Linked DNA regions of Macaca fascicularis. The protein of the gene in region 3 interacts with the protein of the main gene of each other region in a pairwise test. Links are inferred from orthologs where the notes say so. Each region holds a gene or a part of one and is shown on either strand. Other genes may lie near its edges.

Region 1 (4,091 bases), on a different chromosome or scaffold from region 3:
GATACAAAGGGAAAAATACACAACGTCAGATTTTTGTTTTACATCTTCACTTCAACTTCTTGCCCGGTTTCTAGGCCTTTGAATCCTTCTTAGTTCTAGCAATGACACAGTAGTTATCCTTGGGGGTGGGAGATTTGGTGGTAGTCAAGGTGAAGAAATAGCTTCTGCAGTTGAAAGAAGCTGATGTTAAGAATAGGCTTTATACTTCATAGTGAGGTTGATCTTAGAAAAATGACTTCACATCTCTTGTCCTCAATGGCTTATTTATTTATTTTGTAAAATTAAGAGTACCCACCTCCCAGGTTGGAAGTAAAGATTAAAAGGTATCACTGCTCAATCCCCTAGCTCATAGGGTGAAGGCTCATGACTGATTTTAGAATCAAGGAAGCAAGGTATGAAGAGAGCCCACAGAGGCTCTGATCACTCAATGTTCTTTGGCTTTCATGAGTTCTTTTCTCAAAGTTCTTATTTGAGGTTCAGTAAGATTATTGCTCATTTCTTTTTGTTTTTTTCTGGCTTCTTGAGCTTGCCTTCTTGGTCGAGATAAGCCATGGTTTTCGGAGTCATCCTCATTTTCATGAGCTTCTCAGATACCTTGTTTGAAACATCACATCTATCCAAGTTACAGTTGTTCCCCAATGACAGGAACTGTTCTGTGCTTAACCAACTATATGTCAAGTGTCAGCAAGGTGCCTGACAAATGGGACATAGCTAGGGGATGTGTGTTGAGTGAATGGATTCATCTAAGTCTTGTTGCTCCTCAAAGTGAGTCTGAAAGGCAACCAACTAAAGAAAGAAGAAATGTAGGACTTCTTGATAACCCAAGGCCGTAACATCCACCAATACCAAGACTTAGTTTCTTCCCTGGATAGGGAAGGCTGGTTGAGTCTTAACCCAAGTGAGAACCATTGCTATTACAAGGGTTAGTCCTCCTGCTACACCACTGACCAACAGGAAAGTTTGTGTCTCCAGAGTGGACACATCCATAAAGAGGCCAAACCCAGTCAAGGTCTAAGCATCTGATGGCTAAAATAACTTTGCTTCTTTGAAAAATAATAAAAACCTTCTGACCTCCCACCAGCAGCCAACCTGATTTCAAAGAGCCAAGAGGCATCTCAGATTCGTCAACATTCCTTTAATGAGCTGAGAAACTTTTCATGGTAAACTCAGCAGCTGAGTAACAGGATGATGGCACCACAACAGGTAGATAATCAAGGCAGGAGGTCAAAGCATTGGAGCCAACACCCACCCAGGACGGGGTATAAAAGGGCTGGGAGGAGAGGAGACCTCAGTCTCAGTGGCTCGGCGTTCCCAGCTGATCTGAAGCTCCTGTGCAGTCTCAGCCCTACACCATGACCTCCTCCTACAGCAGCTCCTCATGCCCTCTGGTTTGCACCGTGGCTCCTGGAGCAAGAAATGTCTCTGTCTCTTCCATCGACGTTGGGTGCCAGCCCGGGGCAGAGGCCAACGTTGCCCCCATGTGCCTTTTGGCCAACGTGGCACATGCCAACCGAGTCCGCGTGGGGTCGACTCCCCTGGGCCGCCCCAGCCTCTGCCTGCCCCCAACCTGCCACAATGCTTGTCCCTTGCCAGGGACCTGTCACATTCCTGGCAACATTGGAATCTGTGGGGCCTATGGTGAAAACACCCTGAATGGCCATGAGAAGGAGACCATGCAGTTCCTGAACGACCGCCTGGCCAACTACCTGGAGAAGGTGCGCCAGCTGGAGCGGGAGAATGCGGAGCTGGAGGCCACACTCCTCGAGAGGAGCAAGTGCCACGAGTCCACTGTGTGCCCGGACTACCAGTCCTACTTCCGCACCATTGAGGAGCTCCAGCAGAAGGTGAGGTGTGGGATCGCTTGGGCATGCTGGGTCTGAGAAGGCAGAAGCCTTCGCAGGAGGAATCCACATAAGGTCCAGAGAGCTTTGGGTTCTTGGTTTCTCTTGGACATGAGCGTAGACACCACACGTGGAGTGAGAGCTTAGAGTATGATGCTTTGTATGTGAACCGTCTTTCCGTTTTCCTCAGATCCTGTGCAGCAAGGCCGAGAATGCCAGGCTGATTGTACAAATTGACAATGCTAAGCTGGCTGCCGATGACTTTAGGATCAAGTAAGTCAGGTGGAGGAGGGCCAGGGTGACTCCCTCCCCACCCTCCATCCCAGTGCTCAAATACTTGTTGAGTGAGTGAATGTTTGTCCTGTCTTCCTTGCTAGATTCTCCACAGTAAAATTTTCATTACAATCAAAGCTGATGAAAGATGGAAGGGAAAACTCCTCATTAATCCAAGCATATATGTTTGTCCTCCTTCATTTATTTCCCTAAAATGGAGGATAAGGGAGCCTGAGTTCATTCACCAGGAGCAAAATGAGGGGATTTCAAGGATGAACTGAGCAAGACAGCCATTGGGTTTCATATATAAGTCAGAGAAGTCGTTTACAGATGAGTCTTTGTTCAGATTTAATTATGGAGCCCTAAGGTACCAGGCATAAGGTACCTAGGCAAAAATGAGAGAGGGGAAGACAGCTGAAAAGTAAGGCATAAGGAGCCGCAGATCACGATCAGGCACCTGGCTATTGCTTATCTTTGGTAACTGACAGTCCCCGCAATGGCACGAGTGTTGGTCCCAAGATGCATGATCTTAGGCAAGTCAGTTCATCTTCCTGAACTGCAGTTGCCACAGAATACAATGGCAAAAATGTATATTGTGCAATGTAGTGTTGTGATTGCTTCATTAGACCATGAGCTCTTTGAGAAGGGGGGCTGTGTCTAATTCACCTTCGAGGCCAGAGGGCTAAACAGTGAACAAATGAGGATCCAAGGTGGTGTGGGAGGTAGGAAGAAGGCAGGGCAGCCGAGAGGGGCTCTTGGGGCATTCTTGTTGACCCTGTACCTCCCGTGACGGAAGGCTGGAGAGTGAGCGCTCCCTACGCCAGCTGGTAGAGGCGGACCAGTGTGGGACGCAGAAGCTCCTGGATGACGCGACCCTGGCCAAGGCTGACCTGGAGGCCCAGCAGGAGTCCCTGAAGGAGGAGCAGCTGTCCCTCAAGAGCAACCATGAGCAGGTGTGGCCCTGGCTGCTCAGACTCCCGGGGAGGGTGCTGGGCAGACAGGGGAGCTCCCTGGCCCCGGGGCTCTCAGAGCATTGTCTGGGCTCAGCTGGCATCAGGATGCAGGGCTGAGGTGAGTCTGAGGGTGCAGTGGTCCTCTGTGCAGACTTGCCTTGGGCACGAGGAAGGTGTCCAGGTGGGCTCTCCCCACTGCACTCTCAGCAAGACTTTCCCATTTGCTTGTGTGTGGGACTCCCCTCCCACTGCTTGCAGGGTCAGGGTACTGGTGCTGTCTGCTCCATCAAAGGTCCTCTCTTCACACAGGCTGTCTGTCCCTTCCTCCTTTCTGCAGGAAGTAAAGATTCTGAGGAGTCAGCTGGGGGAGAAGCTCCGGATCGAGCTGGACATTGAGCCCACCATTGACCTGAACAGGGTGCTGGGGGAGATGCGGGCTCAGTACGAGGCCATGGTGGAGACCAACCGCCAGGATGTAGAACAGTGGTTCCAAGCCCAGGTGAACGGAGGAGGTACAGAAGCAGGGGGTACCTGGCCTCCATCTGGGCAGGGAGGTGACTATGTCTCTCCGTGCTCTAGTCTGAAGGCATCAGCCTGCAGGCCATGTCCTGCTCCGAGGAGCTGCAGTGCTGCCAGTCGGAGATCCTGGAGCTGAGATGCACAGTGAATGCCCTGGAGGTGGAGCGCCAAGCCCAGCACACCTTGGTATGTGTCCTTCACCCTCACTGCACTGCAAATGCCCTGTGCCATGGCCTAGTAGCCTTTTATTTTGGAGGTCTCACCGCCCAGGTTTCTCCCACCTGTTATCACCATCAAAATCTGGGGCATGTAGCAGTTTCCCTGGGGGCCTTGCACATTTTATCCCCTTATTTCCCACTACAGAAGGACTGTCTGCAGAACTCCCTGTGTGAAGCTGAGGACCGCTTCGGCACGGAGCTGGCCCAGATGCAGAGCCTCATCAGCAACGTGGAGGAGCAGCTGTCCGAGATCCGGGCTGACCTGGAGCGGCAGAACCAGGAGTACC
Region 2 (4,213 bases), on a different chromosome or scaffold from region 3:
CCCTCCCCACCTCTCCCCCATGTACACACCCCACCCCCAATCTTCTTTTTTTTTTCTAGTCCAAGGAACACCACCCCTTACTTGCCGACTTCCGAAGGTCACCGGGAGCGGGTTCTCAGCCTCTCCCAAGCCCTGGCTACTGAGGCGTCGCAGTGGCACAGAATGATGACAGGTGACTGGCTGGGGATGTTGAACTTCTGGGTTTTAGGGAGGAGAAAGCTGGAGACCTGGAATCCCAGGTCCTGGAGAGGAGGGGTCTAGGGGCCGGTGGGAATTTTTTATGTTGGCGAGGAAAGAGTTGGGCAGAGTTTGGGAGTTTTAGGTCTCAGGCAAGAGTGGACTGGGTTCCGGGACACTTGGGAGGAGGGGAGGAAGAGGTCAGGGGGCGGGGAGAGGACCGACATCTGAGTCTGAAAGAGGTCTGGACTGGGGTGTCCAGACTCCTGGGTCTGAGGGAGGAGGGGCTGGGGGCCTGGACTCTTGGGTCTGAGGGAGGAGGGGCCTGGGAACCCGGAGTCCTGCTGCTGAAGTTTGCCATTCTTATGTCTCCCACTCATCCTCTCTAGGTGGAAATTTGGACTCCCGGGGAGACCCTCTTCCCCGTGTGCCGCTGCCTCCTTCGGACCCCACGCGCCAGGAGACCCCTCCCCCAAGATCTTCCCCGGTGGCTAATTCGGGTTCCACAGGGTTCTCTCGCCGAGGGAGTGGGCGTGGAGGAAGTCCCGCCCCCTGGGGGCCCACGTGGGATGCCGGGATCGCCCCTCCGGTCCTGCCCCAAGACGAGGGGGCGTGGCCTCTGCGAGTCACTCTGCTACAGTCCAGCTTCTAACCCGCCCAAACGTGGCAGCCAATCGGAGCGTGAGCACGTGGTCTGGAGGTACCGCCGGAGATCTGGGACCACTCAGGGCATCAGGGGCGTGGTCTGGTCCCCATCGCCCGTCCGGGAGGGAAATGGTTTCTATGGCCAAAGTTTGATTTTCTCAACACTGTCTAAATTTGGATTAAAACTTTGAACTTTTAGTCAATAGCTTTGTTTCTGTCTGTTTGGGGTTGTTGCACTGGGGTCTCTGAGGGGCAGAGCCGGAGTCGTGCACTCCTGGGTCCTGAGAGAGGAAGGGACAGGGTGCTTGGACTTACAGGTCTCTGGGAGGAAGGGATAGAGAATCTGATCCCTCAGTCTGAGAGTGGAGGGGCCTGGGTCAGGATTCCCGGGTCTGAGGGAGGAGGGGTTGGGACCCTGACTCCTGGGTCTGAGGGAGGAGGGGCTGGGAGGCTGGACTCCTGGGTCTGAGGGAGGAGGGACTGGGGCTCCTGGATTCCTGTGTCTGTGGGAGGAGAGGAGTGTCTGAGGGAGGAGGGGCTGGGGACAAACTTCCAGGTCCCTAGCCTTCCTGGCAACGCCCCCCGAGGCTGGACTTCCACGATCCAGCTTCTATTGAGGATTTGATGCGACGGCCTCACGTGGCTTTGGAGGTGAAAAAGGCCCAGAGTAGAGACACAGAGAGAGAGAGAGAGAGAGAGACCGGTGGACACGGATGGCTACGGGAACGCGCTATGCCGGGAAGGTGGTGGTTGTGACCGGGGGCGGGCGCGGCATCGGAGCTGGGATCGTGCGCGCCTTCGGTGAGCCGGGTCTGACTGCTGGGAGCTGTGGAGCGTGAGAGAGGAAGGATGGGGGCGGGGCGATGGGGGCGGAAAATAGGGTCTCCAATACTGCAGCCGGGATTCTGATCTTATAAAAGCCAATTTGCAGGCTAAAGTAAGCGTGTGGCGCGGTAGGCTAGGGCTGTCTGGCAGGGTCTCCGAAGGCAGTGGCCCCTTTCTCTGGGTCTGTTGGTATAGCTGCAAAACCAGTGGTTTGGGGAATGGCCCTGTCAGTTGTGGAGTTTGCTCTGGAACCCACGAACGGGGGATCAGGAGCCTCAGCAGAAACCTGGGCAGGCAAGGAGAGTATGTGTCAAGGCCTCTGCCCTCTGTCCTGTGGGTGATCATGAGACTGGGGTCACGAGGGGAGACGGAGATCGGCCCCAATCCAGGTGGCCACAAGAGGGCGGCAGAGGCTTTAACCAAGACTCGGAGGGTAACGTGTTGCCTTCCTATTCTCAGTGGACAGCGGGGCCCAAGTGGTTATCTGCGACAAGGATGGTGAGTGAGGGTCCCTCAGCCCTCAGCCCTCACCCTGGTCCTTCCTCCCTCAGTCCAGGGGTCCAGGAGCCCCAGCCCCTCCTCCCTCAGTCCAGGGGTCCAGGAGTCCCAGCCCCTCCTCCCTCAGACTCAGGAGTCCAGACCCCCAGCCCTCCTCCCTCAGACCCAGGAGTCCAGACCCCCAGCCCCTCCTCCCTCAGACCCAGGAGTCCAGACCCCCAGCCCCTCCTCCCTCAGACCTAGGAGTCCAGGAGCCCCAGCCCCTCCTCCCTCAGACCCAGGAGTCCAGACCCCTGTCCCTCCCCCCTCAGACCCAGGAGTCCAGATCCCCAGCCCCTCCTCCCTCAGACCCAGGAGTCCAGGACACCAGGCCCTCCTCCCTCAGACCCAGGAGTCCAGACCCCCGGCCCCTCCTCCCTCAGACCCAGGAGTCCAGACCCCTGTCCCTCCTCCCTCAGACCCAGGAGTCCAGACCCCCGGCCCCTCCTCCCTCAGACCCAGGAGTCCAGACCCCTCCTCCTCCCTCAGACCCAGGAGTCCAGGCCCCCAGCCCCTCCTCCCTCAGACCTAGCAGTCCAGGCCCCCAGCACCTCCTCCCTCAGACCCAGGAGTCCAGGCCCCAGCACCTCCTCCCTTGGACCTAGGAATCCAGGGCCCCAGCCCCTCCTACCTTGGACCCAGGAGTCCAGATCCCTGTCCCTCCTCCCTCAGACCCAGGAGTCCAGGCCCCCAGCCCCTCCTCCCTCAGACCCAGGAGTCCAGGCCCCCAGCCCCTGCTCTCTCAGACCCAGGAGTCCAGGCCCCCAGCCCCTGCTCTCTCAGACCCAGGAGTCCAGGCCCCCAGCCCCTCCTCCCTCAGACCCAGGAATCTGCAGGCCCCCAGACCCTCCTCCCTCAGGCCCAGGGCTCCAGGCTCCCAGCTCTTTTCTGCCTGCAGAGTCTGGGGGCCGGGCCCTGGAGCAGGAGCTCCCTGGAACTGTCTTTATCCTCTGTGATGTGACTCAGGAAGATGATATGAAGGTGAGCCGAGTTCCCATTCCTACCCCCATCTCCGCTAATGACCAGTTCTTTGTTCTCCTCCAGCCATTTGCATGTGCCTTTCCCTCTACTTTTCCTTCCTCTCCTGGCTCCACTGGACCCGTCAAAGGTTTCCAACCAGTGTCACTCCACACACAAGATCTTCTGTGACTGACGAGCAGGTCACATGTTCCTTCTCTCCCACCTCTCCAAGGCTCTTAGCACATCTGACACGTGGGTGGAAAGGAATAAGTCCCTCAAAGTGGGTCAACTGTAACTGATTTTTCTGTCTCTTTTTTGGAGGTGTCACTGTCACTGAGGCTGGAGTGCAGTGGCGTGATGTTGGTTCACTGCAACCTCTGCCTCCCAGGTTCAAGCCACTCTCCTACCTCAGCCTCCTGAGTAGCTGGGATTACAGGCGTGTGCCACCATGCCCAGCTAATTTTTTTTTTTTTTTTTTTTTTTTGAGACGGAGTTTTGCTCTTGTTGCCCAGGCTGGAGTGCAATGATGCGATCTCGGCTCACCGCAACCTCCGCCTCCCGGGTTCAAGTGTTTCTCCTCTCTCAGCCTCCTGAGTAGCTGGGATTACAGGCATGCTCCACCACACCTGGCTAATTTTGTATTTTTAGTTGAGATGGTGTTTTTCTGTGTTGGTCAGGGTGGTGTTGAACTCCCGACCTCAGGTGATCCGCCTGCCTTGGCCTCCCAAAGTGCTGGGATTACAAGCATGAGCCACCGCACCCGGCTAATTTTTGTATTTTTAGTAGAAACGGGGTTTCACTATGTTGGCCAGGCTGGTCTCGAACTCCTGACCTCGCGTGATCCACCCACCTCAGCCTCCCAAAATGTTGGGATTACAGGTGTGAGTCACTGCACGTGGCCTGTAACTGATTTTTTTCTCCATTATTTCTGGGTTCCTCTTTCTTCCTTTTAATCAGTATCTCTCTGTTATCTGCCCCCCTTTAGTAACTGTCCCCTATACTCTCTCTGAATCCTTGTCACCCCCATGCCCCACCCCCTAACCCTGGGTGCAGTGTGGCTCTGACCAGC
Region 3 (3,512 bases):
AATAAAGATAGTACTTCATTCCTTGTTAAAACAAGCTCTTTAACCAGTCTAAGAGACCCAGATACCAACACAACGATATGGCCGGAGACCATATGGTGTTGGGCTGCTTATTGCCGGTTATGATGTAAGTTCATTGAATATTGTTATATGTTAATGATTTTTTTTATTAACTAGAAATTTTTATAAATTTTAGTTCAACCAACATAAATAATTATGTGGTGTATTTATTTCTATTTGTAGGATATGGGCCCTCACATTTTCCAAACCTGTCCATCTGCTAACTATTTTGACTGCAGAGCCATGTCCATTGGAGCCCGATCCCAGTCAGCTCGTACTTACTTGGAGAGACATATGTCTGAATTTATGGAGTGTAAGTGATAGCCTTGCTTTTTTTTTTTTTTTTTGGCCTCTTCCAGTCTATATAGTAAATAAATATAGTATCCTAACTACATAAAACTATCAGTCTTACAGAAAGAATTTTTTTTTAAAATTAAGCCCCAGAAGAGTTTGTTTCTGTCACATATACTAACTTCAACTTCTGGTTACCGCCAGAAGTTAAAATTGATACCGTAGTTTCAATCACGACTAGAACTTTTTCAAAATATAAATGTGTTCCCAACCTTGAAAATTCTTGATTCAGTTGGTCAGAAGTGTGCCCTGTGGAGTGGAGAGTGGAGAACCACTATACTACCTGCCAGTTGTAAGCTCTGTTCACTTTTAGTTTTCTGTGAGTCTTATTTTAAGCCACACAGACATTTCTGCATTAGTAGTCCATAAACAAGAAATAAAAAGGCAGTGTAGCTGAGGGAAAAGAAGGTAAAAGAGGTAAGATATTATGACAGGGCAGGTTTTCAAGTGCTTTGCTTTGCTTTGCATTGGAAGGAGGATATTGGGTTTTACATTTCTTTGTCATCTTATCTGTTTTCTGGTGACATAGCATTCTTTGGAGGAAATATTTGGGGTTTAGTGAATGCAGAGAAAAATAGTTTAATTGACATTACTCAAAGCAAACTGTTGTAGGATGACAATAGGTTTAACTTTGGGAAAAGAGGATTCCTTGGACAAATAAGCTTGGTAAATGCTTGCTTAAAGTTTAACATTTTAAATTATGGTAAATGGATTGGGGTCCCCAAGGTTACCCCTAAATTGGGAGATTTGCTAGGACTTAAAGCACTCAGCATATGGTTGTACTCCCAGGTTAAGACTTATAACAATAAAATAACAATACATAGGTGGATCATTAAGGAAAAATACAGTCCAGAGGAATCTATGTGCAGGCTTTCTTATGCTCTTTCCTTCCCAGAAGGAGTCACAGAGTACACTTGCAGCAATATGTATGTGACGTTTCTGCCCAGGGAAGCTCATTGGAAACTCAGTGTCCAGTTTGATTCAGAACTGCTCATATCGGCACCCTCTGCCTAGCACATTTCAACCTGCATAGGAAATTCCTAAAGATTGCAATAAATCCATAGATAATTTTGGGGAGTACTGTTACTTAAATGATACAAGGCATCTGATCCATGAACATGGAATATCTTCATTTATTTAGGTATTTAATTATTTTTTTCTTTTTTTTCTTGAGACGGGGTTTCGCTCTTCTTGTTGCCCAGGCTGGAGTGCAATGGCACAATCTTGGCTCATTGCAACCTCTGCCTCCCGGGTTCAAGCAATTCTCTTGCCTCAGCCTCCTGAGTAGCTGGGATTACAGACTCGCCACCACGCCCAGCTAATTTCATATTTTTAGTAGAGTCAGAGTTTCTCCATGTTGTTGGTCAGGCTGGTCTTAAACTCCCAACCTCAGGTGATCCACCTGCCTCGGCCTCCCTAAGTGCTGGGATTACAGGCATGAGCCACTGCACCCGGCCAGGTATTTAATTCTTTCACTGATGTTTTGTAGTTTTCCATGTACAAATCATATTTGTGTTATAAGTATTTTATTATTTTTGGTGCTGTTGTGAACAGAATTGTGTTCTTAATTTCATTGCATATTATTCATTGCAACTACGTAGAAATACAGTTGATTTTTGTATATCAATCTTATATCTTGCAATCTTGCTGAACTCGTTTATTAGTTCTAGTCATTTTTTTATAGATTCCTGAGATCGTGTCATCTGGGAATAGAGATAGTTTTACTTTCTCCTTTCTAATTGCCCTGGCTGGAACCTCTGGTACTAATGATGAATAGAAGTTGCATGAACAAACATTCTTTTCTTTGTTCCTTAACTTAAGGGAAAAGCTTTTAGTCATTCACTATTAAGAATGATGTTACCTGGCCGGGCGTGGTGCCTCACGCCTGTAATCCCAGCACTTTGGGAGGCCAAGGCAGGTGGATCACGAGGTCAGGAGATCGAGACCATCCTGGCTAACACGGCGAAACCCCGTCTCCACTAAAAATACAAAAAATTAGCCGGGCGTGGTGGTGGGCACTTGTAGTCCCAGCTACTCGGGAGGCTGAGGCAGGAGAATGGCATGAACCCGGGAGGCAGAGCTTGCAGTGAGCCGAGACTGCCCCACTGCACTCCAGCCTAGGCGACAGAGCGAGACTACGTCTCAAAAACAAAAATGATGTTACCTGTCAGCTTTTTGTAGATGCCCTCTATAAGAGGTTGCTTTCAATTACTAGTTTTGTGTTTTTATTATGCAAGGATTTTAGGTTTTATCACATGCTTTTTATGCATCTCTTGAGGTGATTATGCAGGTTTCCCCCTTCTGTTAACGTGTGTTACACTGACTTTCAGTTGTTAAACTAACTTATCATTCTTGGGATAAATCTCGCTTGTCTATGGTATATAATTTTTTAATATGTTGCCAGGTTCCATTTGTAGTTTTTGTTGAGGGTTTTATTTTTTTATTATTGTTATTATTTTTTGCATCTATATTGGGTCTGTAGTTTTCTTTTCTTGTGATGTCTTTATTCTTGGTATCAGTAATACTGGCCACATAGAATAAGTTGGAGATTCCTTTTTACAATGAGCAAATATAGGGACTAGGATTCTACAGAACACATTCTACAAAACTTGGAGTTGTATAATTTGTTGTCGGGATTTTGATTTGACCTAGCAAAAGAGAAGATCAAAATTGTAACAGAAATAATGAGTCCTCTCATTAAATAATGATCAGCAATGTCACAGAATGCTATTAAAAGATTGTATGACTAGCATTAAACTTGGCTGTTTTTACTGTGATAAATTTAGTGTGTAACTAAAAACCACAATTTCAGACTGTAGATTTGATCAATAACAGAAGCCTAACAATGAAATTAAGAAATAATTGTTGATTTATTACATATAGGCAATTTAAATGAACTAGTTAAACATGGTCTGCGTGCCTTAAGAGAGACACTTCCTGCAGAACAGGACCTAACTACAAAGGTAAGTATTGTCTTTTCCAATTGTAGATATTAATGTTACAGTTTAAACCTTTATTGCATAAATGTAATGGAGTATATATACAATATTCTTTAATTTGGGATATGATTGTCTTGCAGATTCTTTCCCTTTAAGCTATTTGCT

The links.
Region 1: the proteins of PSMA1 (region 3) and keratin, type I cuticular Ha8 interact in binary tests that used the Homo sapiens proteins (3 or more experiments, as listed by UniProt). The two-hybrid records come from large-scale screens. The link is inferred for Macaca fascicularis from reciprocal best matches to the Homo sapiens genes PSMA1 and KRT38.
Region 2: the proteins of PSMA1 (region 3) and HSD17B14 interact in binary tests that used the Homo sapiens proteins (3 or more experiments, as listed by UniProt). The two-hybrid records come from large-scale screens. The link is inferred for Macaca fascicularis from reciprocal best matches to the Homo sapiens genes PSMA1 and HSD17B14.

What each region holds. Positions count from the first base shown.
Region 1 is NC_088390.1:62,486,658-62,490,748, reverse strand, and holds the start of keratin, type I cuticular Ha8, read left to right. Parts: upstream 1-1,290; 5' UTR 1,291-1,352; coding exon 1,353-1,844; intron 1,845-2,031; coding exon 2,032-2,114; intron 2,115-2,910; coding exon 2,911-3,067; intron 3,068-3,404; coding exon 3,405-3,566; intron 3,567-3,646; coding exon 3,647-3,772; intron 3,773-3,949; coding exon 3,950-4,091.
Region 2 is NC_088393.1:56,819,703-56,823,915, reverse strand, and holds the start of HSD17B14 (L-fucose dehydrogenase), read left to right. Parts: upstream 1-1,412; 5' UTR 1,413-1,535; coding exon 1,536-1,623; intron 1,624-2,106; coding exon 2,107-2,145; intron 2,146-3,082; coding exon 3,083-3,165; intron 3,166-4,213. Other genes in the region: PLEKHA4 (pleckstrin homology domain-containing family A member 4), read left to right, coding at 60-172, 567-829. UniProt on the Homo sapiens protein: Catalyzes the NAD(+)-dependent oxidation of L-fucose, yielding L-fucono-1,5-lactone, which rapidly converts spontaneously to L-fucone-1,4-lactone. Can also act on D-arabinose and L-galactose, with lower catalytic efficiency. Does not use NADPH.
Region 3 is NC_088388.1:51,244,642-51,248,153, forward strand, and holds part of PSMA1 (proteasome subunit alpha type-1), read left to right. Parts: intron 1-53; coding exon 54-124; intron 125-240; coding exon 241-370; intron 371-3,291; coding exon 3,292-3,371; intron 3,372-3,512. UniProt on the Homo sapiens protein: Component of the 20S core proteasome complex involved in the proteolytic degradation of most intracellular proteins. This complex plays numerous essential roles within the cell by associating with different regulatory particles.